Linked DNA regions of Daphnia pulex. The main gene of each other region encodes a partner of the protein of the gene in region 2 in a complex. Links are inferred from orthologs where the notes say so. Each region holds a gene or a part of one and is shown on either strand. Other genes may lie near its edges.

Region 1 (15,921 bases), on a different chromosome or scaffold from region 2:
TCTCTCAACCCCTTGCGTGAAAGCGGCCGAATGAGGCAATTGAAAATTAATCCGTCATTTTCTAGCTGCAAGGATTTACTCCCCCCTTTGCTTCTTCCACCAGCAGTACAATAAAGCTCCTTTCTTGTGCGCAACGGATTCATTAGAAATTTTTCTTTGGAGTGATTACACCGACTGTGAGCATTCCCTTTAGATTACCACAAGTTAAAATCGATGATGGAAAATCACGAATAACCTGTTTAACGTTTATTTATAACTTGATTAATTTTGCACAGCGTCATATACATATTGGCAATGATGAAGCAAAAATGTTTTGCACGAAAATATTATGAGAAGTAAGGTATGGATACAAATCCGATACAAATCACGCTAGGAATTGAGCACGTCAAAAAGGTACGTATCACTGTTCAAAACCTTACTATATCGACACAATAGTTCTGCACTTACGGACGAAAAGTCAAGGAGATTAATTGTTGAACGAAAATGAAAACAAAATTTAACTGGTGACAGCATAGTCGAAATCATTTCATCATCCTAGTGGCAAATATTAAGGAATCGTCAAAGATGCTCTTGACTTGATGAGGGAACAAAGTTGGCAGTGGTTGAATCTACATTACTGCGCACGATTGAAGACTCTTTCTGTTGGGCATGGTGGCGCCAACAGAAGAAACACGGTGAAGCTAGCAAAAGTAACGGCGATGTCACGAGAAACAATACACCGAGGCCCAAAAACGCGGATACCACCTATCAGAATGAAAAGATTGGCCTTAAAAGATACGTCCTTCATAAAGTAACTTTGAAAAAACATTTTTTACAACTCCTACCTGTGTTCTATGCCAAACGACTGAAATTCTGGAATGGCCCAAACGACTCCGACACGGACCTAAATTGGAAGTAGGTATAAACTTTCTACTGCAAACAGATGGAAGAGTAATAAAGTTTACATACCTGAGTCATAGTGTCGCAACATAAAATCGTCGTCGAGAGAAGCTAAGCAGAACCAGCAGAAAACGTGTCGGCAATTTTTGCACATCATCTGAGCGCAACCATCGTCTCTTTCGATGGGAACCTATAACGAATAATGGTGTCCAAAGGTTAACAAGCTGAACACAAAACAATTTTCGAATAGTTTAACCTGGCAAAATGGGCATCGCTTAATGTGGCCATCACGTTCAAGCAATACAATCGGGTCGTCCTGCAATCACAATTAAATTGTCTGTCAAGTCAAGGACATAGCAATTAAATCTTTTGTATATAATTACCGGATCGTGCACGTTTTTGTTCGGATCTGAGAGTAATCGACTTAGGGACGGACATGGTGAGTCAATGTGCCAAGGAGTTTTGCATTGCGAGCAGAAAGAAAATTGACAGGAGGAGCACACCACCGCTTGATTGCGTTGATTGCGGGATATAGGTAACAAGCCGAAAAACTTTCTCTTCGTCTTTTTATGAGAAACTTCTTCTGTTAAAGTACATACAGTTTCACAACCGGGGCGTGGGCACCACATCAATCTGGGATCGACTGCAACCTCTGAAATTATAAAGGATATTGTTAATGAGTTGAATTCTTCAGGGAACATTTAGCCAATTTACCTGTGTTGAGTTGCAGTCTCAAGTAAAGGGGAAACACATCACTGGGTACCAATTGTCTCACCTTAGATATAAAAGGTATTGAAAATTTAGCACCCCTAACAGAGCTTGATCAATTTCCAACACCTACTTCATTGCGAGTGAGTTGACTGGACCCTCCTTGTTTATTTTTTCCTTGTTCGTTTAGAGAACAGTGGGCATCTGGGCAACTTATAGGGACATTTCCACTCCTAATACTGCAGTGAGCATACATCTCCATGCACTAAAATATGAACAGTAATAACATTAAGCTTTCCACTGCAGAACTTAAAATCAATAAAAACCTACCTGCTGACAAAATCTACAACCACAGGATTCTAAGGTAAACCACTCATTAGGGACCTGCAGACAAAGAAGACAAACCAGATCGTCTTGAAGGATATCTTCCATAGTCTCCATCTGATCCTGACTTTGTTGATTGATGACTAAGCCTGTGTGATAGAAATGGCCCATATTAAGCAAAGCTTACAGTAAGATATCAAAATTGTGTTATTACCTCCTTGTGAATGACTAGGCATGCCTTCTTCATACTCACGAGGCACAACATTGCTTACATTTGGTACTAACTGGTTTGAACTTCGAGCTGGCTTCCTTTTTTTTAACCATCCTGGCCAATGCCATTTTTCTGATTTCTCAGTTTTACTGGAATTTAAGGACTGGTGATGTCCAATGATTTTGTTGAGCCCTGGCATTTTGTTACTCATGCAGGTTACTTCTTGATGGTTCTGGGCACTCCTACAGTCTCTTATTCTATTTGGTTTTATATAAAAGCCAAGGTCAAATAGAACGCAGTAATTTTCCTCGCGTGGTTTCACAGGATTCACAAACACGAGAAAACAATCGCGTGATTGGGGGATGTTTAACGAATCAGCAAGTCGTCCTTGGGGAGATAAAATGGCTCAGAATCTGTCAATTCTAAGGAAACAGAAAAAATGGGTATGTGCACACTGCACAAAAGGTACATCACGTATTAGCAACCAAACAGCAAAATGTTTTTTTTTTTACACGAAAATAAAAAATGTTTAAAATTGCTTACTAGAAATGCTCGTCATTAGGACGCGTGTGTCAAAAAAATTTAACTTTCCCCTCTAACTACATTCGGTACTGCGACTGGTAACCACCTCTGACTAAGTAAGATTTCGTTTTCCAACTGAACTGCTAGTGGGTAGTGCTGACTTTATGCGCGGCCAGCTTTACTTCAGGGCAACTCCGCGATACGAGCATCGATTCAAGGAAAGTATCGATTAAAACGCCCACTGTTTGTCTGTTATGTATTCCCGGTTTTTGAGTCGTACTAGGCTAGCCTGCTTTAACATTTGATATTAGTTTTCTTCATACAGATGATGCGATTCCAACGATTCCCCTTTCCGGTTATGCAATCAGTGAATAATTTTTATTTTCTCAACTTGACGATCTCAGTTGAACAAAAAGGCATGATTCACGTGATCAATGCATGGTAAAGTCGCGGACTTTTGCGGTGTAAATCGTTCAAATTTCAACAACGGCCTCTTGAGGTGCAACAAAAAGTATCCAGTAACAAAGTTTATCATTCTCTTCTTTCTAATTTTTTTATTTTACGCAATCGAGGTGTGTGACACTTATTAAAAATGGGTGGATCAAAATGAATGAACGTTGAAAATGCGGAAAAAAGTAATTCGGAGCGATTCGCAAATTTCATTTGGCATTGGGGGCACTGGCATCTGGATAGTGTTTCTGGTAGGCTCGGGCAATGTCTGGATCAAGCAGATGGACACCATCGAGTTGATTTCCCAGGGTAATCCTAAATATCATGTAACAATGTCATTTACTTGCACGTGATAAAATTCTCATTTCCTTACTAGCGTCCATGAAAAGCTAACCACAAAATATTAGAAGGAAAAGAGCAAAAATACTACGTCGGGCGTCAAATAGGCAGAACGGAATTGAAGGACAGTGAGTACGTAATGCATGAAGGTCAAGTAAATGAACACACCAATTTGGCTGTACGTTGTGAGGCCTTCCAAACAACTCGATTTTGCGCGTTCCGGGCGAGAGACGTTCAATAATGCCATACATTTCGTCTGGTTTGTGGCTGGTTGCCCGCACTTCGGCCACGATGACGTCACAATCCAGTCCGCGGTTCAGCATTCTGGGATTACCCTTCATACCTACCTATAACCAAACAAAAATCCAGATACGCATGTATTGGAAAGTACGTTCGTAGAATATATACGTAACTACTAACTAGCTTAGTAGAGTGATTAAAACGCAAGGTGTAGTAGGGTGAGAAAATACGTCAATACCAAGCAGTGTTCTTTCCCATGGTTTAACCAGTGTCCTGTTCGACCTGTTCGAATAATCCTTTGTAGCTGGTTTGTCTTGACCCAAATAATTTCATCGACCCGTTCGTAGCCCCATAGCTGAAGGCACTAGAGAGAGAGAACACGCGTGAGTCACTTGGTTGATTTTGCTACATGTTGAACAACTATTTTAAAAATGTAATGATACCTCTCGGCCCAATTCCATGGCTCGACCAGTAACCCAGAGGAATATCAATCCTTCATCTTGAAGGATAGGAATGCTCAGTTGTCTCATCTCGTCATCAGAAAGGGTTCCATATGGAAGTTCCATGTGAATATCCCACGGTGGATCAGCCATGATAACCGAAAACTTACCTGAATCATAAATGTAAAAAAGAGAGTATTAAAAAAAACCATGGGACCTGTACATAAGGTTGCATATACCTAAAATGGCCATATCCAATGACCGTAAATCACACTGAATCCACTGAGCTGGGTACAGGACAGTGCTTTCACCTCGCGAGACCACTGCCTGACCGAGCAAGGAGCCGGGTTCAAAATCATCCTTTGTTTTAATGGCTTGGTCAACCTCGTAATGAACCTAACATTTTCCAGAAAATGAATTTAAATGAGAAGGTCTAGGGGGAATGCACATTGCGCAACAAGCTCACGTATTTGCACGTTTCCATATGAAAACAGGTATTCAAGAAAGAACAATCTCCAAGTGACTCGTCTGTGTGTGACTGTATAATTTTACGAAAATGAAGCCGATGGCAATTCCATTTGCTTTCGAGACCGTCATCTGATTCAGACATCCAAACTTTACGGCATTCATCTTTAGTTCCGTGGGCGCAAAACTCTTTAACCTGAGCCCCTAAAGAAAATTACTAATAATCAAAGTAACAAAAAAAAATTTGTCGCGTAAGGGTCAACTAACCTCCTTGTGAACGGAATCTTTCTGCTAAGGATTTTTCTTTGACAGTTGGTTTCGACAAAAGATCCAGAATTTCTTCGCCCATTTTCTTGTTTTCTTTTTCTCGTGTCGACGGAAGCGATAACAAGTTCTAAGGAAACAACAAGTTATATAAGTATTAAAACAGTGAACATATGTATTTTACCATGACATCATCATTTTTGGAATCTTTTTTTTCTCTTTTGGACTTAGATAGATCTTCTTTCACTGTTACAGTTTGTGCTGGTAAAGCCGACTCTTCAGCTTCCACTTCATTTTCTGTTTTGATGCAATGATTAGATTCCAAAGAGTGGAAAGTAGTATAAATTTACAGAATATTACGCTTTCGTTTCAAGGATATGGAATTTCCTAACTGATCTTCAGTAACCATAGCAACAAGACGAGCATGCTCAGCATGTGTGATGGTAAGTACTGGCTGATTTTCCTGTATGCCATCTACAAGTCTTTGAAATGGAATAATACTTAATATGGATTCTCAATCAAATGTGTACACACAACACAAACCTAATAAGTTCTTGAGCAGCAAATTTTTGGAGAAGATTACTGACAATTGTGTGTGAAACTAGATATCCAATTTGAGTGGAAACATTATGGCAAATGATTCTGGAATCTGAAGGTAAGGAAAGTGTGGCATCGGTTAATATCCTGAGAACACAATTTTCAATATCTTTATTGGCTTCTTTGCTGGAACTTGACAGATTTATCTCACATGCTTCATCTAGAAAGAAAAGAAATGTTGAAAAATCAGAATCATTGTTCTAGAACCTCATTTACCTGAAAATTTTTGATTGCTATCTGTTTTAACAGTTGAAGTTGAATCGCCTCCTCCAAGGAGATCTTCTCTTTCTTTTCTTCTCTTTTGTAACCGTTCTCTAAGTTCATTTCTTTTTGATTTGACAGCTTGAATCTCCTCCCAAGCGTCAGACATTTTGGAACAAATCAAAATAAATGTGAGGGATTATAAGAACAACAAAACTTCACAAACAAACCGGCATATGATAGAAAATGTCAGACAAGCAGCCAGATTGTTTTCATTCTGCTTTCAGTGTATATTATTTTAGACGGCCGCTAGATGGCCTTTTTCTGGAAATTGGCAAGGGCAGCAATAAGTACAAAAACGGATTAAAGATCCATGTAATTAAAAAAAATTAACATTACCATTCACTAGGTAACGTAAACCGATCCAATTTGCATATCATATTTTTTTTAATAAAAAAAAAGATGGCACTAGTGTTGGTTCGGGAAATGTCGTTCACGTTGGTTAGAAGTCGTCTGCTAGGACGTCCTTCCTCTTGTCGTGTTGGAACTTTCAAGTCACTAGTCACATCCAGTACGTCAGCCGGTCTTCTCCTTTAATTTCAGTCCCGATCAAAAGTAAGTTTCAATAAAATGTCTGGAAACCAAGAACGTACCTACTTGATGATCAAGCCCGATGGTGTCCAGCGAGGACTCGTCGGTGAAATCATCAAAAGATTCGAACAGAAAGGCTTCAAATTGGTCGCACTCAAATTTGTCCAGGTATGTGTGAATCACTTCTTAATTATAAGGAATTGGATCTGCCATTAATTCTGATTGTTCTTTAACTTGTTTGTGTCACTAGCCTACTGAGGAGATGTTGCAGAAACACTATGCTGACCTGTCTGGCCGCCCATTCTTTGCTGGTTTGGTGAAGTACATGGCATCTGGACCAGTTGTTGCAATGGTAAAGAAATAATTTCTTTAGCTGCAATTAACTGTTAGTTTAATACATGCAATGTACTTTCAGGTCTGGGAGGGTTTGAACATTGTCAAGACTGGCCGTCAAATGTTGGGTGAGACCAACCCTGCTGACTCCAAGCCTGGTACCATCAGAGGAGATTTCTGTATTCAAGTTGGCAGGTAAGACTAGTTTTGAATGATAACTTTACACCACATGTTAAATTTTTTTAAAATTAGGAACATCATGCATGGATCTGACTCTGTTGAGAGTGCCAACAAGGAAATTGCCTTGTGGTTCAGGGATGAAGAACTTGTTTCATGGCAGCCAGCTGATAAAGTTTGGGTTTATGAAGACTAGATCAATTGAAATATTTAAGGGGGGCTGAACATATCAGTGTTTAATATTTTAACTGAGATATAAAAATATCAAACTGAAAATATTGTCCTATTAAATTTCCATATTATTTTAGACGGTCGCTAGATGGCCTTTTCTGGAAATTGGCAAGGGCAGCAAAGTACAAAAACGGATCAAGGATCCATGTTATTAAAAAAAATTAACATTACCATTCACTAGGTAACGTAAACCGATCCAATTTGCATATCATATTTTTATAAATAAAAAGGTGGCACTAGTGTCGGTTCGGGAACTTTCGTTTCGTTCACGTTGGTTAGAAGTCGTCTGCTAGGACGTCCTTCCTCTTGTCGTGTTGGAACTTTCAAGTCACTAGTCACATCCAGTACGTCAGCCGGTCTTCTCCTTTAATTTCAGTCCCGATCAAAAGTAAGTTTCAATAAAATGTCTGGAAACCAAGAACGTACCTACTTGATGATCAAGCCCGATGGTGTCCAGCGAGGACTCGTCGGTGAAATCATCAAAAGATTCGAACAGAAAGGCTTCAAATTGGTCGCACTCAAATTTGTCCAGGTATGTGTGAATCACTTCTTAATTATAAGGAATTGGATCTGCCATTAATTCTGATTGTTCTTTAACTTGTTTGTGTCACTAGCCTACTGAGGAGATGTTGCAGAAACACTATGCTGACCTGTCTGGCCGCCCATTCTTTGCTGGTTTGGTGAAGTACATGGCATCTGGACCAGTTGTTGCAATGGTAAAGAAATAATTTTTTTAGCTGCAATTAACTGTTAGTTTAATACATGCAATGTACTTTCAGGTCTGGGAGGGTTTGAACATTGTCAAGACTGGCCGTCAAATGTTGGGTGAGACCAACCCTGCTGACTCCAAGCCTGGTACCATCAGAGGAGATTTCTGTATTCAAGTTGGCAGGTAAGACTAGTTTTGAATGATAACTTTACACCACATATTAAATTTTTCTTTTAATTAGGAACATCATGCATGGATCTGACTCTGTTGAGAGTGCCAACAAGGAAATTGCCTTGTGGTTCAAGGATGAAGAACTTGTTTCATGGCAGCCAGCTGATAAAGTTTGGGTTTATGAAGACTAGATCAATTGAAATATTTAATGGGGGCTGAACATATCAGTGTTTATTATTTTAACTGAGATATGAAAATATTACACTGGAAATATTGTCCTATTGAATTTCCATCAAGATTGTTATTAAGTTGAATTTATTGCTAAAGTTACATTATTAGATATGGGTTCTAGTCCTTCTGGTGTAATGTGATTATCTACGAACACCCATTTATCTTATTTATGTATCGAATTTTAAGACGTCAATTAGATTAGATGGGGAAAGTGAGAAAACATTCAAGTAGGCCGATCGTTGATGTACAGAAATGATTCGATTCCTGTGATCCGTGCAAACATATTAACAACCACAAGATGGCTGAACTACCCAACTTTTCCCTGTAAATGATTATCTTCGTGCAAAGGGTATTACCTCCTAGGTACTTTTGCTCAGATTCGTACAAGCCGATAGACGCACGAAGGGCATAATCTAATTAATTTTCTTGTAATCGATGGTCACAAGAGAAACGAAGGTAGTGCGTCGAGATCAATGCCCTCCCGCTTGTTTACGATAGACCCTTCCGAATAGCGTCGATGACACGGATATTATGGTATGACTTGACTTCTAATCGACTTCTCTCACTTCAAGACTACTTTTTCTTTTGAACACGCGTCACAAGAATTTTTTAAAGCTGATTTGACGCTGTTTTTCCTTGTAAATTTGACCTCATTTTCAAAATTGGTGTAGTTAGTTACGCGTTCACAGATGGCGTCGAACGGGACATTTCTTTTTCGCCACCACCATGACAGTAGTTATTCTAAAAAGAAAATCTACTAGATGAACTTTAGTAGATTAATGAATATGCCTTATACGGGTGGCGGAGTAGTCGAAAGTCGAGCAATAGAAAACGCCCGTTCACGAAAAGAAAGGGCGATTGTGCGGTCCGCGTCATTCTCCCCTCTCCATAACTGGTTTTCCCGACTCAACGGTCAAATATTTTTCTAAGCCAAACTAGTTATTATTATTCCGTAGGCCGGTTGTGGTAAAGACTGTTTGACTGTTTAGAAGTAAACACAAATGGAAAATGGAAAACAGAAAATCTAAATTAATAATAAAAAAGTAAAGCAACAAAGTTGACTATTAATTGAGCTACTTTAAATCATAGCGTTCACAAGTCACGCGAGAATGGAAATAGGGAATCGTGTAGTAATCATAATCTATCACCGATAGCAATTCAGAAAAAAATAAAAAGTGCCGAGAGGAAGTGGGTAGAAGGAGGGTTGATGAAAACGAGGACAAAGGAAAATAACCGGGGAGAGTAACCCGCCATTTTGGAATGAGGGAGGGGACACATCGGAATAGAGAGGAGGTTTAAATAAAACAAAGATCGGCCACTATCGAGTTCTGTTAAATTATTCATTCCCAGCGCCACAAGTGTCGGTTCTGCGAACCAACCCGTAGAAAAGAGTAAGCAGAGCGGTTGGTGGCTAACGGATATTTGCAGTTGCGCTGGTCGGCCGCTAGACATGAGCGTTGGCTTGAGAACGGTCATCTCTATTTTAATCCTCCCATCCCCGTTGATCTCGCACAGAAAAGCTTTCTTCTACTCCTGTGTCTGGTAGAGAACTGTTGAAGAGTAAAAGAAGAAAACGAAGAAGAGAAAGAGAAAGAAGAGAGAGAAGGGGAAGAAGAACAGCGTCAAAAGTCAGAGAATCAGTGTGTGTGTGTGTGTGTGTGTATATGTGTGCGTGTAAGGTCTTGTTACCCTTACGAAATATCCCGGCCGACAGATTCTCACACAAGTCGGATATTTTTCAGTAAAAATAATAAAAATAATAAAAAAAAAACCTTCCGTTCTCTTTGACTGGACACGATAAGCGTCGCTTTGCCATTTTGGATTTTTTTGTGTGTTGTTGATCCGTTTTTCCAGCTGCTTTACCTCTCGGTTCGGCGTCGTCCGTTCTGTGTGTGTGTGTGTGGCCCCAATTTCTGGATAATCCTCCATTTTTTAATTACGGATAACTCGATTGACATAACGAACGAGGTGAACTATTTTCGGGTTCTTTATCATAACTTTTTTCACCTTTTGGCAGGTGTGTCTGATGTCAAGTGTTGGTTGGGGAGAGGGTAGAATGGAGTGAAAGAAAGAGATGAAGAGGAAGAAGAAGAATGAGAATGAGGGGATGGGGATGTTGTGATTTGTACAAAAGATAAAAGTTGATAATTGTGTGTTGTGTCAGTTTCTCCTTTCTTATATGTAAACTCTTGTGTTTTCCTCTTTGCAGATGGCTTTGGGTATAGGGGACCAGTTTTGTTTGAGATGGAACAATTACCACTGCAATATGACGTCAGTGATAAACCAGCTACTGGCTGAAGAGGCCTTTGTCGATGTCACTTTGGCCTGTGATGGTGCCAGAATCAAAGCTCACAGAGTATATAACCCTCATACATTTCCAATTTATCGCTCAAGGTTTACTTATTCGTTGGCTTGTTGCTCAGGTTGTTCTGTCAGCCTGTTCCCCCTATTTTCAGCGTGTGCTGTTGGACAATCCTTGCAAACACCCTGTGCTGATTCTTCCTGTGGGTGTGGGCCATGCCGATTTGAGAGCCATTGTTGAATTCATCTACAGAGGTGAAACCTACGTAACCAGGGACCAGCTCTCTTCGATAGTTCGAGTGGCAGAACTATTGAAAATCAAAGGTATGCAACGTGAAATCATTTCATGGCTATTTTCTTAATTAAAACTAAAATGTCATTTATTATTTAGGGTTATGTGAAGTGTCACAGCAACAGAATGAAACTCAAACAGTGGGTTCTGTGATGTCACACACACTGCCACTCCCACCTGTGGCAGATCACCAGTCTGGCCCAGGCCCGGGAAACAATGGCAACTATACTAATGTGGTCAACGATTCCTCAATGACTACTGTGGCAGCTTCCCTAGGAGTACCCAACAACACAGTTGTCTCAATGGCAACAATGACCCAGCCCATCAATCAGTTAATTTCGCCGGGACAGAACAGTGGTCAGGGCCAGAGGCCTTCGTACTCGCCGTCCTACAGGGGTAGGCCTAGAGGAAGGAGACCTTCCGGTTCTTCTGGTTCCGGTCGTGGAGGATGGACTGGAAATAGTGGAGAAAAAAGGAATGCAGCAGCTGCCGGGCTTAACTCGGGTGGTGGCGTACGACGTCCAACTCGAGGAACCTATCGAGGCTCCTGGCCCAGTCGATCGCCTTCCAAAACGTCACCCACAGGTTCCAATCAGAGTACTGTACAGGGCAGCAGTAGCCAAGGTAACGATCGCATTTGCCTAGCGTAATTTCAGTAGTTAAAATCAAATCATATTTGTGTCATTGTGTTTTTCTAATTGGGTCAGATTCGGTCGATTTAGTCCAAGACAACGACTCGATGATGGTGCAAACGCCACAATCACTACAGGGTAATCCGGGCGGAGGAGGAGGGGGAGGTGGGGGCGATGTGGGCGGCTATCACGCCAATCCTTCAGCATCGAATACCCCCGTACATTCTGCACCCTCATCACTTGATTCACAACCGCAAACGACAAATCTCTACGACACGAGAGGTTACAACAGTCCAGTGGCACTTGACCATTTGCCCAGTCCATGGCAGCATCACCTGAGTCAACATGCATCTCACGCTCACAACTTCAGTCCGGGGAACGCCGGCGGCAATTCATCGGGTCAACAACAGCAGCAACAACAACAACAACAGGACCGTTCGTTTAAAACGGAGCCTGGTGGAGGCCACGGCGGAGGGGAATTTCCTCACGCATCCGCCGTTCGGAGTGAAGCGTCGGTCAATGACTCTGATAGGGTAAATTCATTAGCTAATTCGATCTAAACTTTCGGTAATCTAATCGAGTTTCCCGTCCTGTTTAGAACGGCCATGACGATGGAGGAGGGTTGACGGTGACGCCGGAAATTTTGGGCTTAATTCCGTCGCACATTACCATGCACGGCCATCACCCACATTCGCATCAGCAGCAACACCAGGGACACCATTCAGGTGGCAGCGGTCAGAACACGACCGACGGGCCCATCGGCAATAACAATGGAGACGCTGCGAGTGTTGCTGGCGGTGGTAGCGACGGCGGAGCGTCGATGAATGCGGTCAACGATGCTCCGACTAAGAAAATGTACACACCGGAAGCCATGGAAGCAGCCCTGGACGCTTTACGTAACGGCAGTATGAGTTTGACGCGGGCGGCCGCCGCCTTTGGGATTCCATCCACAACACTATGGCAACGAGCCCACCGGCTCGGCATTGACACACCCATGAAGAAAGATCCTTCCAGCAGACATTGGTCCGAAGATGATCTCCGGCTAGCGCTGGATGCACTCAGAGCTGGCAGAATATCAGCCAATAGAGCTTCCAAGGAGTACGGAATTCCTAGCTCTACCCTGTACAAAATAGCCCGAAAGGTAATTGAATTCTAATTGCATTTTACTTATCCAATATGATATTTTCATTTGCAATCGTCGATCAATAGGAGGGAATTAAATTAGCAGCTCCATTTAATGCCTCGCCGACGACTTGGAGTCCTGATGACTTGGGTGTGTTCCAGCTGTTTCATCAAAAATTTAGATTCTTACTTTATTCATGGGCTTTTTATTGATTAAAAAGGTCGAGCACTTGAAGCAATTCGAGGTGGCATGTCCGTCCAAAGAGCAGCTACACAATTTGGCATTCCGTCCGGGACGCTTTACGGCCGGTGTAAGCGGGAAGGCATCGAACTAGTTCATAAGGTAAAGAGCTTTTTTTGTCGTTTATTAGCTTTATCGATTTATTTTTCGTGGGAATTCATTTCTTTTTTATTCGATTGCAGCAAAGTTATAGCGGGGATCGACCGTGGTCCGACACGAACATGACGGACGCTATGGAAGCGGTGCGGCAGGGGGAAATGTCCATTAATCAGGCAGCCATCCACTTTAATGTCCCTTATTCGTCACTGTACAATCGCATCAAGAGGATAAAAGCGGCAGAAGAGGCCGGCGAAAGTTACGAAGCAGCTCTGGCCGAAAGTGGGCCGCCTCCTGACGATGGTGATGTGTAAGTGGCTCCTGAAATTGATTTTTTCCCTCCTTCATTATGATACATGTCCCTTGTTAATTCAACAGGTACGACGACGATTTGGACGAGGACGATCCTATGATGATTGCGGCCGGCAGTGGCGGAGGAGCCAGTGGTGGAGTGACTCCTTCGCCGACATCACAGGGTCACGCTCCTCAGCACCAGCAGCAACAGGGAATGGGTGGCGAGCCGTCGCCTTCTCCGTCGTCCTACAACCCGGGCGGTCATGTTTCTCATACACCTTACCTGACGAGCCACGTACCTGGTCACGTGACGATGACTTTGCCCGTCATGTCGACCGGGCCCGTCCCGCTCACAATGGACTATCAAGCCTACGCCCACAGCCAGTCTCACGCCACTAACTCGTCGAGCCAATCGTCCGGTGCTGTCACCTATCCGCAGTAAATTGAAATTCGAGTCTCCCGATCAGGGCGGGGTCACCAACAATTTCTTTATTTTTTATTTTTTACGTTTCTCTACCCCCCACCTACACACACTATATTTTTTTAATACCAGGTGAATGGTTCCAAACAAATGTTGTGCATGTGTTGCATCTACGTATATCATTTCCGCTCCTTTTTCCCTTTTTTTAAAAAAACAACCACACACACGACACATTCGCTTCCGAAATTTAAGAAAAATTTATTATTTTTGGAGGGTTACACTGGAACTTGTGTCGATCGAGTTTATATATAATATAATATATAAATAATCAAGATGTGAGCATGGGTTCAATCACGTCTTGGTCGATTTTTCGCCTCTAATCGATTGATTTAAAAAAGAAAAAACGAAAACAAAATTATTTATTTTTCCACCATTTTGGACGAGAAAAAAAGCAATTATTTGTTTTCCGTTTTATTTTATCGGAATTTATTCACCTTTTTTTTACCGCCATGCGGAAAAATGGATTTACTTTAGTTTTCTTTTCAATTGGATCTGAAGAAAAAAAAAGAAAAATATTTGAAGAGTCGAGAAAAAACTTGTTTTGAGTGTGTGTGTGTGTGTGTGAGTTTGTACATGTGTGTGCGTGTTTGATGAATCTCCTATAAAAGAAAATAAGAAAGCAATCATTTCTACTCCCGGACCCAGTTCCCACCCCAATCCCCTCCACATTTTAATTTCAATATTCAAAACACACACACACCTTATCCTCCTTTCTCTTTCCCGTGAACAAAATAAAAATAAAAAACACAAAAAAAATTATGTTTCCGTACAAGAAAAGGATGAAATTTAATAACGCGCGCGATTGATTGATTATAGTGAAAATACACACAACTATTTTTCTGTTGAAAATGTAGATGGCGTCCAAAGAAAGTCTTTTTATCAAACGGTCAAGGCGAAATAACAAATTTAAATTTAATTCTAATTGGTCCTGGAGGCTTAATCGTGGCGGATTTCGTTATTGAAGTAATTATCTGTGGGTTTCATGCAAATTTTTACTTTCATCTTGTCTAAGTAGGTGAGACAAACAATTTGATACTAAAATAATTCTGATCCGTTCAGCGGATGTCAAACGCGGACGAGAAAACCGCTTTGATCGTTTTTGCAATTTAGATTAAGGGGGAAGGGTTTGATTTTGAATAGTTAAAATTGAGAAAAGTGTCGTCTGCATTTATTTACAAAGTTTAAGATAAGGTTCAAAACGGATGATTCAATATTCAGCTAAAGGTAAAATTTAATTTGAAATGATTAAATGTATTGCTAGTTGTCACAAGCTTTATGTAAGTCAATCTGGAAAGTATTTGTGCTGAAATGTGAAAACATTTTGGTAAACCAAATCGAAGTTGTGGAACAACATAATGAAAGTTGTTTGTCAGTAAATCATTTCAAGTTTATTAGGAAAACAATCATGTAGATATTAGAAAACATGGTAAACATCATATTTCATTCATATTTTCACAAGTTTTCTTGGAACTGTACATCATGCTGCAGTATTAATCATTGTTATTTCACGTAAAGTGAAGTCAACAAGTTTCACTTTGCAAATGCAATTTTAAACATTTTGCATTTCTTGGATGAAGAATGATTTGTCGACAAACAACTTGTGTTTCACAAATTAGATTATCAAATCATTATCAAATCCAAAAAATGTTTAAACTTTAATTTCTATCAAAGCAAAAGTGCAACTAGAAAATGTTTTATGAGGGACCTACCGCGGCACCTCCTTGTATTAATTTTTCTTCCCCTTGGAATTCTTTAAGTCTCAAATGACCGGACAAGCTTTCGTCTAAATAACTCAAGGCGTGTAGTACAACCTTGATTTCGACTGACGGTTGAGTGATTCCTCGTAGGCAGTTTTAATTACAAATGCAGATCGACTTTCATGATCATCCGACCGTCATCTGTCATTTCCGTTGCGTAGTCCGTACAGAGAGAGAGAGAGAGTGTGTTATTAGATGGTGCATATGGTCGGAGGAAAAGCTTTTTCAGGGGGGGTTTATATATATGTGTGTGTAAAAGGGGGGAGGGTGATGGGGTGTATAATATTATATCACCCCTCGACAACCACGAAACCCCGCCCACCAGTTAATAAAGTGTGTGTGTGTGTAATCAAACAGCAGCAGTTTCTAACCGTTTCCGTTTAATATATCGGGCGTCTTCTCATATGGTTTCCAGATTCCTCCGACCAGCCTGGTTTGATCCGTCTGCACACACACGCAGCTTTTTTGTCATCATGTGTCAAAAAATTGATAAAAGAAAGAAGAACAAAAGAGAAGAAATGTATACACATATATAAAGATAAGGCACTTGACAAGCTTCGGATCAATAAGAAAACTTTTCCACTATATACGTGGTGTGCGGAGGCTATAGAAATAACAATAA
Region 2 (15,935 bases):
CATCAGGACGCACATATCGTCGCACACTAGAAAACTAGCAAGAAGAAAAACTCTTTGTACATTTTTACATTTTTTTTTTCACTTTTACCTCTCATCTTGCTCTCACCCTAACCCCTCCCCCCCATCTTTGTCGATGTAATAAATGTGTCGTTCGCGTAGCGGTCGGTCTGTATTTGCAGTGGAAGCAAAACCTCGTTTTTTTTTTCATTTTAAATTGTTACTCATTACATTTTATTCACGTTCAATTTGGTCACAGACAAACTTTTCCGATACAATCATTCTTCTCTTCCTTCCGATTTTCTGCCAGGGATTTTTATTTAGCGAGAAAACGTTCGTGTGTGTCGCGTACGACCAGTTGATGGGGCCGTATTTGACGGCGAACTGTATCGCTCCTTGCTAGCGGTGTTGGTCCAAACACGATTAGTAGACTGAAAACGGGTAGCAGAACGCGCTTCAACCACAGAAGAATGAAGATATGGATCGTCCCACTTGGCTGAGGAAGAAGACGTCGACGTCGAACCGGTGCCGCCTGGACGAGACCGAGCGGCCTCACGTCGGGGTTGCTGAAAATTAAAGCGACCACGTTCACCGGGAAAACCACCTCGGCCTCGATTGCCACTGCCCCTGCCTCCTCCACCTCTTGCGATTTTGGTGCCGTACAAATTGTTGCCAACCCCAGATGATGAGGAAGGTCCACCACCCACAGCTCCGTTCTTTTCCATGGCAACAAAATCGTCGACATGTAGTGATGGTGGACGTGATGTGTTGGGTGCGCGAGAACGGAAAGGATCGTTTCGCCCATTGACGCCAGGTCTTCCGAATCCTCTCCCTCGCATTGGAGCCACATACGGCTTATTGGATTTGTCACGCGCTGTAGATAGAATCGGTCTTCCGGGTGGAGCGTCGGTTGATTGCGCATCCATTCGACCTTTTATTGAAATCACTGTAGTTGCTCGTCCACCAATCTCCGTAGGTTCGGAATGACTCTTACAAAGACGTTCGGTCAAAGCCATTAAATCCACATCGGCACCCAAGCAACTCTGTGCTGTCTCCAGAAGATCGCAACGAATATGATCCGTATCAGAGTCGGCAGGTTCGTCTACCCAGTGTTGATGATTGGATAACCAATAAGAAGAGGAAAGACGATCTTCATCAGTTGGAGAATCACTCAACAGTGGCCGGTGTGCAAACTGGAGATTTAGAGTCTCTGGGAGCGGGATGATAATTTCTATTGCGGTATCTTTTATGGTGGCTGCATCAGAGTCCGAGGATTGAAGAATATTCACCAACGCCGTAAGACTATCTCGTAGGCTTTCCATTGATTCTTCTTCTGTACAGTTTTCTCGTAAAAAATCTTGAAGAACTAACAGTGGATGCTTTTTAGGTTCTTCTACAGAATTTTCTTCTGTTGATGTCGGTTCCATAGGCCATTGAAGAGCTTCTGAGAGTGTGCAGATGGGCACGATAACATTGCGCCGTCCAAGTGCCGCCGCCACTGGCGTCTTCACTAGTGTTCGAAGGAGTTCCAATGCAGTTGACAAAGTGGACACACTATCTGAACTGTCCTTATTGAAACCGCTAGCCATTTTATCGAAGAAGGCCCATAGGGCGTGCCGCTTTCGCTCTAAAACTTTATGCAAGTGCTGGAACGTGTAGTTGTGCTCCGTCAGCAACGTCAGTGTTCGAAGAGTAGGCAAGAGTGACGAGTAATTGTGTTCGGAATTAGCAAGGTGATCCCATAACCCAGACACGATGATTAACATGGGTTCACGGGACGGAAGGGCGGCTGACAAATAAGATTCGTATTCGACCTTATCGGGTGACAAAAGACAAATATCGGCGTCAAGTAACGCCTGGAAGATGGAGACGACGCATTCCTGCGATTGGATGTGAGCCGATGTTGTTGAGACCGAATTAAGGATCAAACACAAACACTGGAGAAATTCGGCGTATTTCTCATCCGATTTCTGCAATCCACGACAAAGCTGCAACACAGCTGCTTTAATTGGTGCATGTGTCACAATGGCTGCTAGAAAGTTTAACACCCGGGCCGAGTGAGCTGTGCAAATCAACGTAGCCGGAAGGAAGGCTACAGCAACATCTTTTTCATTTTCCTCGCTTTTGGCGTTTGCTGGTGGACTAGGATCTTGAATCAGGCAACTGGAAAGGACAGCATCCAATGCGGCTCTAGCTATAACAAGCGCAGTACTGGCCGAGAGATCGGCAATCTGGACACACACTTTTCGCAAGAGCTGTAAAAGTTGCGGGCCAGAGCAGCACAAGAGCCGGACAACTTGCTGCACTTGTGGCCCGAGAGTGTGCAGGTGAACACTCCAAAGTTTTCGGGCGTTGAGTATCTCTTGCACATCTTCTTCAGACAACTGGGTTTCACCTCCAACTCCTTTAAACAGAGGCAATGGCAGTGGGAGAATTTCGTTGAGCACTTGCAATCCTGTGATAAATGAAGCCGGCCCGGAACAAGTATGGACGAATTTTAAAATTTCCTGAACCATTTGCGTCCACAAACTTCGCGATAAAGCGTCTTCTGGTGTGGTAGATGCCTTGATGACACCACTAGTATTACTACTTCGCACGCTATTGCCATCTCCAGTTTGCAACAAAGGCTGACTATAAGCCAGTAAGGTGCCAACAATGTCGGAACAGCACTCGGCCACTTTGTAATGTAGCAAAGATGAAGCCGGAACAGCGCTAACCAGGGCGTACGTCTGCAGTAGGACTGGGACAGCTGTCAGGTCACGAAATTCTCCATCACGGCAGCGGATAAGTTGACATAGTAGACGACGGATCAACTTGAGTGATGGATGGACAATGGAAAGCAGAAGGAAGCCTTGCGGTCCAGCCAGTACGGCCCCATGAACAGCCGGCTGCTCATAGGCTTGACAGAGTTTCAGCAGTATGCTTACTAGCAGACTCAGCATATCGTGACTGAAGAGCTGTACTACGGCGTATGCATATTTGAGTTCCACGTATTCTTCTCCGCTACTTTCTCCCTACGTCCAAACGATTTCGTTAATAAATTTCAATTATGCTAAAGACGTTTAAAATGTCTTACCTGTTGTTTGGGTATGGCGAGTGGACAAAGCAGACGAAGAGCAACAATAAGCTCGGGTGGAAAACTCGCGGCATCATCGGCGTGCTGCTTGACTACGTCGCAAAGCACTGGCAAGCCGCTGTCGAGAGTGAAAACTTGGGGCTGATTAAGGATTTCAATCCAACGAGTCAGATGAGCCAACTTATTGCTATCATCTTGGTTGGAAGCCACCAATCCGATGAGTGATGCACCGTACTTGGCATAAAACATGGCATTTTCCGTTGATCTCACAATAAGTGCCACTAGCTCAGCCGCATATCCACGGACGGCAGATTCTTTCATCCTTATTTCAGTCTCTGCATCACTATCACTTGTCAGAATGTTGAGCAAAACATCAATATTGTTATCCAATGCAATAACATGGATCAGAGCCAACCGGCCTGTCACACTGAAAACCAGACTGTATAGCGATTGGATGCATTCGATGGCAGCTGGACTGTCTTTGTTGTTGTTTATCAAGTGATGATTGAGGACGTCCAGGCACTGTATAATGTAAAGTGAATGGGCTAACTGAACACCCAGCCGATGCGGAGTCATCGATGCATGATGACTAGTAACGTTCAGTTCTTCAACGTTGGCGTACTCGTCGTGACGTCCCTCGACCGATTCAGTGGCTAAACCAATTGATGGATGTCCGTGACCAACAGACGTGTGCATCAAAGCACGAAGGATCAACGTTGTTACGTCTGATTCACCAGAGAGGAAGCAAAGCCCATGATGCGTCATGGCAAAATCCTCCAGAAAGTGGAGCACCATGTCCATGATAACATGATCACTTCCTGTCAATGGATGAGTTGACAGAAGCAATAAAACGCCCAAGAATCTGTGATGACGGAAGAAACAGTAGAGTCCCTGGAGAGGATCCGAACCAGCGTTAGAGATCTCGTACTGACGGTAGACGGGCAGAAAACGAAGCAGATGACCAACAGTCAACTGTGGGTTCAGATAAACTTTTCGAACTTCATTTAAACTGGAAAGTAACTGCGTGAGATGAGGCTCTAACGGATTTTCAGCAACAACATTTGGACATGTGGCATTCGGTGTAGAAAAACTGTCCTGCGAGTTCGAGTCTTGACTTTCAATGCTCATTCCTGAAGGGCGACGAATGTCTTTTCGTCTAAAGCCGTTTGGAGGTAAACGGGCCAGGATTTGTCCGATGTTATGAATCCGCTGCAGAGCTTCGTAAGTATGTATCTTTCGGATGAGTGCGGTCACTGTTACTTGAGCTCTGGAGGGTTGAGTCGCTTCTAACAACTGGACGAAATATTCATAGCCGTTTGGGTACTCCAGTACGGGATTCTTCATCCAATGTTCCATGACGTAGGGCCATGAAAGCAGAGCATCAATGCTACGCAGGCACATTAGCTTGAGCGACTGAGCCATGTGGGGGGCACCGTAAAGGCTCGCAATTTTCGTCAAGACGCCACAATCTACTGAGCGTTCTATAAGCGACTGCGAGCACTGGGCCACCGTCTGCGAGAGTTTCAGACCACATTTGATGTGACGGACCGTATGTGTAGATGGACCTGGTTGTTCGCGAGCATGATCGAAATCTAGGCCGTGAAGTAACCAGTCAACCACTTTATCTTGAATTGATTTGAGCAGATCCGGCTGTGAGTGTAAGTAAGCCAAACCATTCGGTAAGATAGAGGCCAACTGATTCATGCTATCGATCCATTTTTCTCCGCGAGATGTTAGCTCCAGCGTCATCTGGAGTCTCAAAGCAGCGTCTTCTAAGTCTTTGCAAGGTATTCGAGGTTCGGAGACATTCTTGCTTACTCGTTGTAATGTGGTGTCTGAAGGATCTGTAAAATTCTGCAGCGGTTGCAGTTCGACACCGTAAGGATTAAATGTCTTTCCGATTTCAAGAAGATCACCGAATTCATTGATATCCAAATCCGTCATGTCGGCATTATAGTCTTCAAACATAAGGTCTTCATCGCTGAGGATTTCTTCTAGTTCTTCCAATTCTTCGGGTTCGACGACGCTGTCAGGGGCTGCTTCAACTAACACTTCAGTTGAATTGACAACCTCATCTTCAACGGGTGGCTCATCTTTCCGAAGAATGGATTCCGGTTCATTAACTTCGTTTATTTCCTCTTCAACTTCATCAGCGCGAGGGGCTAAACTATCCACTTCCGGCATGTCATCGTCTGATATAGCTTCCATTTCGACACCAGGCGAGAAGCATTCTACAGGGGGTTCATCTTTTTTTATGGAAGCAGGTGGCGGCGGAGGGGGTGGTGGAGGTGGTGGAGGTGGAACTTCAACCGGTACAGGTACCGGTACAGGTAGGACAATAGCAATTTCAATTTTCTTGTCTTCTGCAGGAGTCCGAGGCCGCCTCGAGCTTTCACGTGATCCTCGTTCTTTTGCTCTCTCTTTTTCACGATGGCGATCGCGGGATCTTTCTCGCGATCGATCACGTTCACTTCCGCCACTGCTTCGTTCGCGTTCCTTAGATCGCTCTTTACGATCGCTTCTATCACCACGTCTTTCGCGATCTCGGTCGTTTCTACCTCGTTCGTCGGTTCTGGCACGTTCTGAATCGCCTTTCACTCGATCTGGATCACATTTAACTCGGTCGGAATCACTTCTGGTTCTATCAGAGTCGCTCTTTTCGGTTCGTGTCCGTTCTGATTCGATTCTGTTCCTACCGACATCACCTTTGGATCTATCCGATTCACTCTTCGTTCGTTCAGGATCACTTCTAGTTCGATCTGAATCGCTCCTTTCACTTTTAGTTCGGTCGGACTCGTTTCGTTTTCTATCCAATTCTATTCTGGCCTTTTCACGGTCGGAATCTGTTCTACTACGTTCGGATTCAACTTTAAATCTGTCGGAATCTGGGCGTATTCGATCCGAATCATTTTTGGATCGATCAACATCGTGTCGGCTTCGATGATCACTTCGATTGATACGTTCGGAATCTGCTTTGCTGGTTCGATCGGATTCCCATTCTCTTTCACGGAAGTCACTTGTGTCTCGCGTCCGTGTGAACTCATCACTGCGTCTGCTTTTCTCTCGCACCTTCTCGACTACTTTTTCTTCGACCTTCACTTTGGTTTCTTTTTCTGGTTCATCCTCGCGTTTTACTTCAGATTCAACCACTGTTGATGTCACAAAAGCATTTTCACACTTTATTAGTTCTGCTTTTTCTTCGAACGGAGGGGTGGAAGTCCGTAACTTTTCGTCTATAATTTGATTTGTAAACACTGGCGCTAATTCTGGAACCGGTGGCTGGGCTGGTTCAACTGGAACTGGGCTAGCAGGTTTGATAGGGGCTGCTGGGGGTGGTGGAGGTATACTGATTATTGGGGCTCGTGTAATAACCCCATAAACAGCTAGGGTTACAGTGGTATACCAGCCTCTCAAAACTAAGCCATCTGTTGGTACCTGTAAAATATACTTGGGGTTAAAATGGTTTGTTAATTATGCATAGTAGTCAATTTACTTTTTTATCAGAATCGTAATGAATGTTAGAATTCTGATTGTAATCTAGAACACCAAGTGTCTCAAAAGCAGATGCTCCAGGTTTGCTCAAATCATTCACAAATAGTTCAAGCTTAAACTGGGATGGATTCGTTGCTCTGAAAATACATGTTAATATGTAAACATTATCCTTATAATTTATTTTGTTCTGTCGTAACCTACCCTAAACGCACTCCTCCGGGGAAATCAGCTTGCACTTTGGCGCCTAAAGGTATGACTCGCACTTGATTTATGTACACGGGCTTGGGAAACTGTACCAAATCCAAATTCAATTCCTGCAAAATGTCGCCAAGTTTGAGTTGTAGCCAAATTGATTTATGAATAAACATTTTCTGAATTGATTCAAACCTCTGTGGGACCATGTGCGAACGTATCGAAGAAGAGCAATTCCTCATTATCAATTTTTTTATCAATTATCAATTGTTCTAACACAGACATTTTATACTAGCCGAAAAACTTTCATGAGTAAAATTTTTGAGGGATAGAAAAAAGTTTGAGGGTTCGTAAAAGGTTAATAAACAGCAACTGTCATGGTTTTCTGAAAATATAAATACGACTGCCACTAGAGGGATCCCCAACTCAGTAATCCGCTAGATGGGTCTGGGAGAAACAACCTTTAATTTATAACATTCCTTGCTTCTTGCTTACGTCAACAAGTTTGAATCACACAATTACTTCAAGGCGTCCCGTCAATTTCCAAAACAAATTCAGAAGTGTCGATAAAATGGGAGCTGATGACAAATATAGTGTCCTGCTTCCGACTTACAATGAAAAAGACAATCTACCAATTATTGTCTGGCTCTTAGTCAAAGCCTTTACTGACAGGTAAGGTTGACACTTGCTTGCAGTCATAATAAGATTACAGGTCATAACAATGCATTTTATTTGTTAGTGGATACGATTTCGAAATTATTGTAATTGATGATGGAAGTCCTGATGGGACCCTAGATGTAGCAAAGCAGCTTCAAACCATTTATGGAGATAAAAAAATTGTATGGTAGTGTTAGGCTAAGTATTTTTTTTTCTAATTAGCTATAATATTGTCATATCACAGGTCTTGAGGCCACGAGAAAAGAAACTTGGACTTGGAACTGCTTATATTCATGGAATCAAACATGCTACTGGCAATTATGTTGTGATCATGGATGCTGATCTATCTCACCATGTAATCATCTTTATAAACTTAACCTTAGGGGACATTAATTTTAAAACATTTATTTTCTTGGCAGCCTAAATTTATTCACCAATTTATTGAAAAACAAAAAGAAAAGGACTATGACTTGGTTTCTGGAACTCGTTACAGTGGAAATGGTGGAGTTTATGGATGGGACCTGAAAAGGAAAGTGATTAGCAGAGGTGCAAACTATGTTACTCAAGTGCTGTTGAGACCTGGTGCTTCTGACCTCACTGGTAGCTTCCGCTTGTACAAGAAAAAAGTATTAGAAAAACTGGTGCAATCTTGTAAATCAAAGGGGTATGTTTTTCAAATGGAAATGGTTATAAGGGCTAGACAATTGGGATTTACAATTGGTGAAGTACCAATTTCATTTGTTGATCGGGTTTACGGTGAATCAAAATTAGGTGGGAATGAAATTTACCAATTTGCCAAAGGACTTTTGTATTTGTTTGCCACTACTTAACAAAATTCTTCAAACAATAACTTAAAATACACCTTCTAAAAATTGTTATTGAAATATTTTTGTTGTTTCTTGAATGAGCCATGATATCCATGAGATAACACACAGACCATGGTTAACAAATATAACTAATTCATTAGATTCCCTCATTTATAGAAATAACTAATTATTGAAATACATTTGTAAAATTGAGAACTATCATAATTCTAAAACTACTTGAATAGTTTCAAAATATATAAACTGCTATGGTGGTTATTTCACCCAATAAGCTGATTGCAAGTTCGTTTCCTAGCGTGTCTCCTATAAATAAAAGACGCTGTCGCGTCTTATTGTAAGCGCTCCACAACAAGTTAGTGCATTTGGATCTTCAACAATTCAAAAAATGGAAGGAACGAAATATTTCGCTAAAAACGCTATGCCGCTTTTCTCCCCATTCTTCGTGGTAATGACCATTTACCTAATCTCTTCAATCCAGGCTGTTGAAAACGATACAGGAGGCGATTTTGAGGATGTATTAAGAGAAAATTACAGGGGACCCGTTGCCTTTTTCACCATTTCTGCCCTGTTATTCGTAATCTTGATGCTTAGTTGCTGTTTATATGTAAGCAAACGTGGGAATCTCCACAATCCAGATGCAGTTCCCGTGGATTTCAATTGAACAATTCAAAATTGGATCGATAATTTCACAGTTGATTCTGAACTAATAAAGTTGTAAAACTCTTAACAAATTGGTTAAATCTTATTTCATCAATGATCGATCATTAAAAGACATTAATTATTGCAAGATTTTAGTGCCATATGTAGCACCTCAACCCAGCACCTCAACCCTCAATCTCAATTCTCAACCCAGCACCTAGCTATTTTCCGGCGCTATTTTTTTTTTAAAGCTATTTTGTCAAGCTATGCTGATGCTGACATCTAGCGGAGGGAAAAAGTGTATTAGATTTTTATACGTAACAGGACGACATATGGAATCAGTAGCCGATACTTTTTTCCAAAAGGCATTTTTTTTTCTTTTTCGTTTAACAAAAAAAGGGGAAGAATGGACTCTGACGCCACGTAAATATAAATACTACGTAATAACGTCATATTGTCGAGAATTGAACTGACACAAAGACGCTCTATACATTTCTTTTTTTTTCTTCTTCTTCCGGCGTATAAGTTGTAAAAAAGGGCGGAAGGCTTTACGGTTTTCGTGGAATTTTCTGAATGTAAGGGTTAAACTATTCGTTTGGGAGGGGGGATTTATTATTCCTATTTTGGCAACGTGTGAGAATATGTCGTCGTGCCGAGCTGCTGGTTGCTGTGATTCTGTAGCCAGGGATTTGATCGATATCTATACAGTAAAAAGATGTCAGTTGTGTGCTGCGTTATGTAATAAAAGGTACATACACACATAGTATACCATAACCCTGCTGCCAGATTTATTCGGCTTTTATATATAGTTGGGAGAAGAAGAAGAAGAAGAGAACCCCCATCTATATCCCCCCCCCCTCACCACCCAAAAGCTAATACTCGACTGCTATTCTCGAATTCGCGGCGCGTGCGCAGCCGAGCGTCGGTTTTTATAACAACAACAGGAGAAGGAGGAGGAGGAGGAGGAAAAAAAGGGAGAGAGAGAGATCACAGGGAGAAGATGAGGAGGAGGTAGTGGGGGGATTGGAATGAATAGAAAAAAGCTACGGGCCAGCAGCAGCAACTGCTTTCCCCCCTTCCTCCACCGATGAAACTCCCGTCGATGTCGGACGTGATCGACTGTGCAAACGTTTGTCAAAGCTTAAACAAGCCGACGCCGCTCTAACCCGTCGACCTTTCCCCCTCCTCCCCCATCCCCCTTGTATAAAGAGAGAGGAAAAAAAAGCAATGACGACGTTCCATTGTCCGTGTGCACCGGCCCAGGTTTTTAGGTGTACAGCAGCAGCAGCGGAGGAAAAAGGAAAAACTCGACGTCCCCACCCGCCACCGCATTACCACCTCCCACTCCTCCCCTCCCCCCACCCCACTGTACTATACTCTTTTTAACGTTCTTCTTCAGTAGCAGATTTACAGCTCTCTTTTAGTAGTAGGCGGCTTATTTGTTTATTTCTCTTCATATCTTACTATTCACTTTAAGATTGTTTATGAGCACTAAGAAGCGTCTTGGGATGCTACGAAATCTGACATCAACTAAGAATATTGAAAATGGATGTGCGGCATAGTTAAATACTTAAAGTGAACATGGCGCCATGCAATATTCAGTTAGCCAAGATTTATATTCTGGTAGTTTTCCAGTTTTAAGTTGTGATCTGCCCTTGCTAGTGTCGAAAATGGCCCAGAAGGCCCACCTACGAAATCATGTAACAGAAAATTGTTACTTTTTCTAGATGTTGGTCTGTGCCAGATGGCGGCGTAGCAAGAACACCCTCTAACTAATTGCAAAATCAATATGTATATAAGCGTTTAACCGTGGCTAATAAAGACTGGTAAAAGTCTGGCTTATGTGTGTCTCTTGTACTATGTCGTTTGAATTGAGTCAACATAAAATATATTGCATCGCCCCGTTTCGCCTAAGAGCAATTCAGTTCATTGGTCCAAAATTTGATTTTCCTTTTGTATTATTGTGCATGGATATAATTAGTAAATTTTGGCTCAACATAACTATTTTTAAATCCCGCAAAAGTTTGGCTAGAAAGCTAGTAATTAAAATCAGGTAAAGAAGGTTCAAACTCTTCTCCCGTCAAAGACTTTTATCATGATTATTAATGACCAAATGATGACGTTATAAAATAATAGGATATAAATATAGCTAAGACTCGGTACGCACCTAAAAGTCTGAAATCAAGTCCTCGTATATGAAACTGGATAACTGTATATAAAAAACATTTATGGCGGCTAACTGTTTTTTTTTTTCCCTTCATTTCTTACTATACGTATTAAAATTTCTTATGAGCACTATTAATCGCCTTAAAATGTTACGAAATATGACATAAACTTTCAACTACTAAAATGATTAAGCAGCAGAGGTAAGTTCACGTCGTGAACATGACGCCATCCATTTCTCAATTAAAAACGATTTATATACTGGTAGTTTCCGTAACTCAGTTGCGGTATCGGCTGGATAATCCGAAAGATAATGTCCAATCAAAAACTTAATTTCGTCAATAATGAAGCATCCTTCTTAACAAAACATTGGACGGTAGCGAAAGAGTACGTCTTCTAATCAAAACATAATCAACGCTCACAATGTTAACTACACCTTGGCTTATAAAGCCTGAAGCAACTTAGTGAACCTTTTAAATTTCTTTGGTACTTAGGCGTTATATTTCATATACTTAGAATTAAATTTAAATCGGCCTATTACGCCTATTTGCTATTCAGTTCATATGTCTGAAGTTAGAGATTCTCCTTTTGAATAATTTTTCATGGATATAGTTAGTAAATCTTGGCTCACCACTAAAATTAAAATCACGGTTCGATTCCCCTCTTTTTGGATAAATATAAAAATTGACAGATCACCAACATCCTATTTATTTTTTTGTCAGAAATGTTGTCGTTGTCGTCGTCGCCTTAGATTTGTTATCGTTCTTGATTATTCCCCTTCAATTCGTACACTCATACGTTTTTCATCCACGTGATTTTTGACATACGTATTTATTTATGCCCATGCGCGTGAGTGGGTGATATTTGTCACCTGATGAGAGAGCCAGACACGTTATTACTTGCGCCTTTTGATTTGACCAACATGGGGAGACGCACTCACACACGCTCCCGCTCATCCGCTAATATGTGATAAAGGATTTGTGATATTGTTAGGCTATATTACCACATCCGAGAGTAGAAACGTTTCATCGCCTATTGTGTCGCTGATGCAAATAATATGACAAACACGCAATCATTGTTTTGCAATAATATGTCGATCGCGTTTTTTGGCTACAATTACGAAATGATGAGTTTTTGGGCTGACATTTGTTGTTTGAATTTTTTTGTCAAGAAGCTGTGGCGCTCTAACAGCCGGATCAGGGCCTAGTTTTTCAACACGGCATCATATATATTCTATCCCCTATCCTATTTAGCTGCTGATAGATTGAACCCCTGGACCAATCGTATAGGCTGGCCAAACAATAAAGAAAACTATAAGGTTAAATCTCTTTCCTTTTGCTTTCTAAGTTCCACCGGCTATACAAAATATTGGGAAGATTCTATACATTCAAAGAGAAAAGCCATATTTTATACCGATGCGGCTGCTTTTGTGTTGCTGCTGGAACCCCCCTTGACGAGTTTGCGCACATTGTACATATGTGTGTGCCTCATGTTGAGCTACTGATTCCCCCTTCCGTGTGTTCAAAACATGTATACATATTAGATAAGTTGCTGGCCGGTTGCTGGACAGAAGATCTAAAAGAAATAACCCCCGGAGAATTTAGAGATGCAGTTGTCTTCTCCGCTGGATGGGTTTGACCCCCTTTTTTTAATTCTATGACATCATCAGGTCCATTGGCACGCTTCTTGTGTCTCTGTCTCTGTGTTTTTAATAGTCCAGTTTCCGTTTATTTGAATGACGCGCCTTTTTCTTTTGGGCGCTCTCTGTGTGTGTGTCTGTTTCCGAGCGTGAAAAGAGGGGCTTTCTTCCCTGCATTTCATGCTGTTTGCGCACACAAAGAAAAGGGAAAACATTCCTCCATCATATAAGGCCGCGGCCGCCGCTGCTCGGGTGACTAAAACAACGTCCAGCACAGCATCAAAATAAATTGCTGCATGTGCTGGGCGTCGGGTGCTGGTGCAGACTGTGCCGTTGGTCAGCGAGGGACAGCCGACGAGAGCCAAAATCAAAAGGAACTTTTGTCTTTTTCGTTTGTTGCGCTGTCGATTCGTCGAAATGTCCGCGCGTCCCGTTTCAAATCCCAGCAATTGGCCGTCTGGTTTTTCTGTCGCTTTCTTCCTTTTCAAGTATTTTTCTAGAGACGCACGTCCCTTGCTGTTGTATGCCGCATAGTGCCGCAGACCAATATTTATACACGCGGCCACTCCTTTGTAGAAAATTTGAATGAAAGAAGAAGAAAAAAAAACGCGTTGCACACAACCTCAGACACAGCACAAATGCAAACCCCGACGACTATAAAAAAAAAAAAACAGAACGGACATTTTTCACTTGATGTCTTATGTTACACATTTAAGTTATGAATGAGCATTAACAAGCGTTCTAAGATTATTATGAAATCCTATGTTTTCTTACAATGGCCCCAAGGGATAAGGGACATAGAAGAAGTTTACAGAGCGTACATGAAGTAACTTAGTTTTTTACTGTAAACTAGTTGATATTCTGGAATACATCCAGCTAAAACTTGAGCACTTGAGCGCTTCGGATTAATTTAGAAATGTTGTGTAGTGCCACATTTATCAACGTGGCTGTAAGTAATGTAACTTGATTAGCACGATCCGATGTAAAGCGGGAGTTCTATTGAATTTAAAAACACAAAATCAACCTACACATAAATGAGAAGCTATAACGAACGGTGAAAGACTCATCAGTCTTTCTAGCTCATTTTAATGGTTGCGTTTCTTTTCAATGCACAAAGAAATTAATCTACGGGAGTCCGTTACTCCTAGGCAACTCAGTTCATTAATCTAAAATATCATTTTACACTCATGTGAATGTAAATAGAAAAACCTTATCTCATCACTAAATATCCCTCTCCTTCCAGTAACACCCGAACTGAAATTTCTTCATCTTTAGATTTTTAACAGTCTGACTAGTGGACATGGACATTACAAATTTTGTTTTTCAATCGATGTGTTACGTATTACTTTTGAATTTTAAATGTGCATTAGCCAGCGTTCTAAATATACCATGAAATCCGATGTTAACTAACAAATACGAAAAGAGTATACATAGGGACTGAAGGTAGTTATGATGGTGATAGTGACACTACTCTATGTTCAAATAAAAAAAACTTACCCAAACCTTATAAAAGCAAATTATTGAATATTGTGCGATAAAATTCCAGGCGTTTACACAAATAACTTTTTTTTGTAAAAGAAAACTATTTCATTCAATAATCTTCTATAAACCCTGACTTTTGGACATGCAGTCCCACAATGCATCGCTCAGTAGCCATAAAAGAGGCGCTACGTTGCGTATCAAGTACAACTTGAATGCTATGGCGTACATCAACATGACTCCAATGTTTACTCTTTTATGGATCTTATTATCAACGCTTTCAGAAACTCTTGGACAACCTGACACTTTCCAAGATGAAATAGAGGAAAGTTGGAGTTGGCTTTCCGGGGGTGTGTCTTTTTTCATCACTGGGTTTCTGATTAATATCATTATGATCCTCCTCCTCTTGGTAGCATGCAGTATTGCCGACAACTTGCAGAAAAGAGAATCGGGACAAATCACAAATAATGCCCTGTAAGAAAACCAAAATTCGCATGACACACCACAGCCCTAAAACTCATCAGTTCTACTTCCTTGCAAAAACTACTATGTATCGTGAGAGAAGAAATAAATTAAAAATTCGATAAACTTAATGTAGGCTAAATAGTTCTGTCAATTTACTGAACCAATGATATCTGAGGATTCCAAACTCAAAAGAAAATGTGTTAAAACTTTTTGGTTTAATATCAAGTTTCAAATAGGCCATAAAGATATCACCATCATTATGTATTTTTCTGTGTTGAAATTTGGTTGAATTCAGAATTGCGAAAATATCAACGAGCAGAAACTTCATAAAAGTTGATTCTGTTCGAATCATACGTATTCCGTCAGAAAATTTCAAGCACAAAATACATTTGGCGTAAAACTACTACTATGGAAAAAGGCATAACATTTTTGTAAAATACTAACAATTAACCCGACTCCCCTTTTGCATGGCCCTTCTGATGTAGTCTGCCATTTTATCATCAAGGTGTAGATTTGGCAATTCGGCTTCGAAATTTGCCTGCGAGAAAAATATATTTATATTTATTAAGTAGTGTTTATTGTTACGTATTACAAGGTAAAATTTAAATGAAGATGTAATGAAATTTACCAAAGTTCCATATCCACCAATATAACCATTCAGACGAGTTGCAATGTTTGAATTATTCAATTCCGGCCCTGGTGAAATATCTAGCGCATTCATGAGCCATGGATGTTGTTGTAACAAATACTTCTGGTGATAACTAAAGAAAAAACCAAATAAAATAAAGCATATAAAACCAAAATTTAATTACAAAAAAATAACTGCACATAGCAAGACTTACTCCTCGGCTTCATAGAAAGTAGAGGCTTTTAAAATTTGCGTTTGAATCGGTCTCGCTATAACCTTTTGTGCCTGTTCCAATGAATCAATAGCTAGCCTTTTTTGCTCTTCGTTGTGGTAAAAGACGGCAGACATGTACTAAATCAAGAATTTTAAAATGATTATTTATCAATAGCATATCAAAGAATAATAAAAAGGACTAAAAAATATATATAATTTCAACCTGCCGCGTACACTTCTGAGTAGAATCATGGTTTTTCCAAAACATATTTAACAAATTTGAGTAATTTGTTTTGGTTGGATCGTATACAACTTCTGTTGTTTCAGTATGGTCTCCCCTTAAAATTTGAATAATTTGCGATACTTTTAATTACCTGGCAAGAGAGTAATTAAATATTGTTCACATACAAGCTCCTGTAAGTTGGATTAGGTTTGGCGCCTCCGCTGAATCCTACGCGAGTACGGATTACA

The links.
Region 1: protein virilizer homolog (region 2) and N6-adenosine-methyltransferase catalytic subunit-like share a complex: the UniProt entries of both Drosophila melanogaster proteins name them as parts of the WMM complex. The link is inferred for Daphnia pulex from reciprocal best matches to the Drosophila melanogaster genes vir and Mettl3.

What each region holds. Positions count from the first base shown.
Region 1 is NC_060028.1:8,116,300-8,132,220, forward strand, and holds N6-adenosine-methyltransferase catalytic subunit-like, read right to left. Parts: upstream 5,983-15,921; 5' UTR 5,810-5,982; coding exon 5,656-5,809; intron 5,600-5,655; coding exon 5,386-5,599; intron 5,325-5,385; coding exon 5,203-5,324; intron 5,140-5,202; coding exon 5,027-5,139; intron 4,973-5,026; coding exon 4,846-4,972; intron 4,783-4,845; coding exon 4,580-4,782; intron 4,510-4,579; coding exon 4,353-4,509; intron 4,284-4,352; coding exon 4,117-4,283; intron 4,038-4,116; coding exon 3,912-4,037; intron 3,781-3,911; coding exon 3,602-3,780; intron 3,471-3,601; exon of another isoform or gene 3,410-3,470; coding exon 3,304-3,409; 3' UTR 3,184-3,303; downstream 1-3,183. Other genes in the region: probable E3 ubiquitin-protein ligase RNF144A, read right to left, coding at 559-744, 825-883, 949-1,069, 1,136-1,195, 1,263-1,531, 1,594-1,654, 1,721-1,852, 1,918-2,060 and 1 more; protein bric-a-brac 2-like, read left to right, coding at 10,293-10,439, 10,507-10,708, 10,776-11,300, 11,384-11,841, 11,907-12,449, 12,518-12,581, 12,652-12,773, 12,854-13,077 and 1 more. UniProt on the Drosophila melanogaster protein: Catalytic component of the WMM complex, a complex that mediates N6-methyladenosine (m6A) methylation of mRNAs, a modification that plays a role in the efficiency of mRNA splicing and is required for sex determination.
Region 2 is NC_060020.1:7,382,049-7,397,983, forward strand, and holds the start of protein virilizer homolog, read right to left. Parts: upstream 7,127-15,935; 5' UTR 7,043-7,126; coding exon 6,953-7,042; intron 6,880-6,952; coding exon 6,767-6,879; intron 6,703-6,766; coding exon 6,567-6,702; intron 6,509-6,566; coding exon 3,074-6,508; intron 3,012-3,073; coding exon 318-3,011; 3' UTR 1-317. Other genes in the region: dolichol-phosphate mannosyltransferase subunit 1-like, read left to right, coding at 7,329-7,429, 7,497-7,596, 7,659-7,769, 7,834-8,244; peptide methionine sulfoxide reductase-like, read right to left, coding at 15,063-15,161, 15,252-15,384, 15,466-15,602, 15,688-15,802, 15,873-15,935. UniProt on the Drosophila melanogaster protein: Associated component of the WMM complex, a complex that mediates N6-methyladenosine (m6A) methylation of mRNAs, a modification that plays a role in the efficiency of mRNA splicing and is required for sex determination.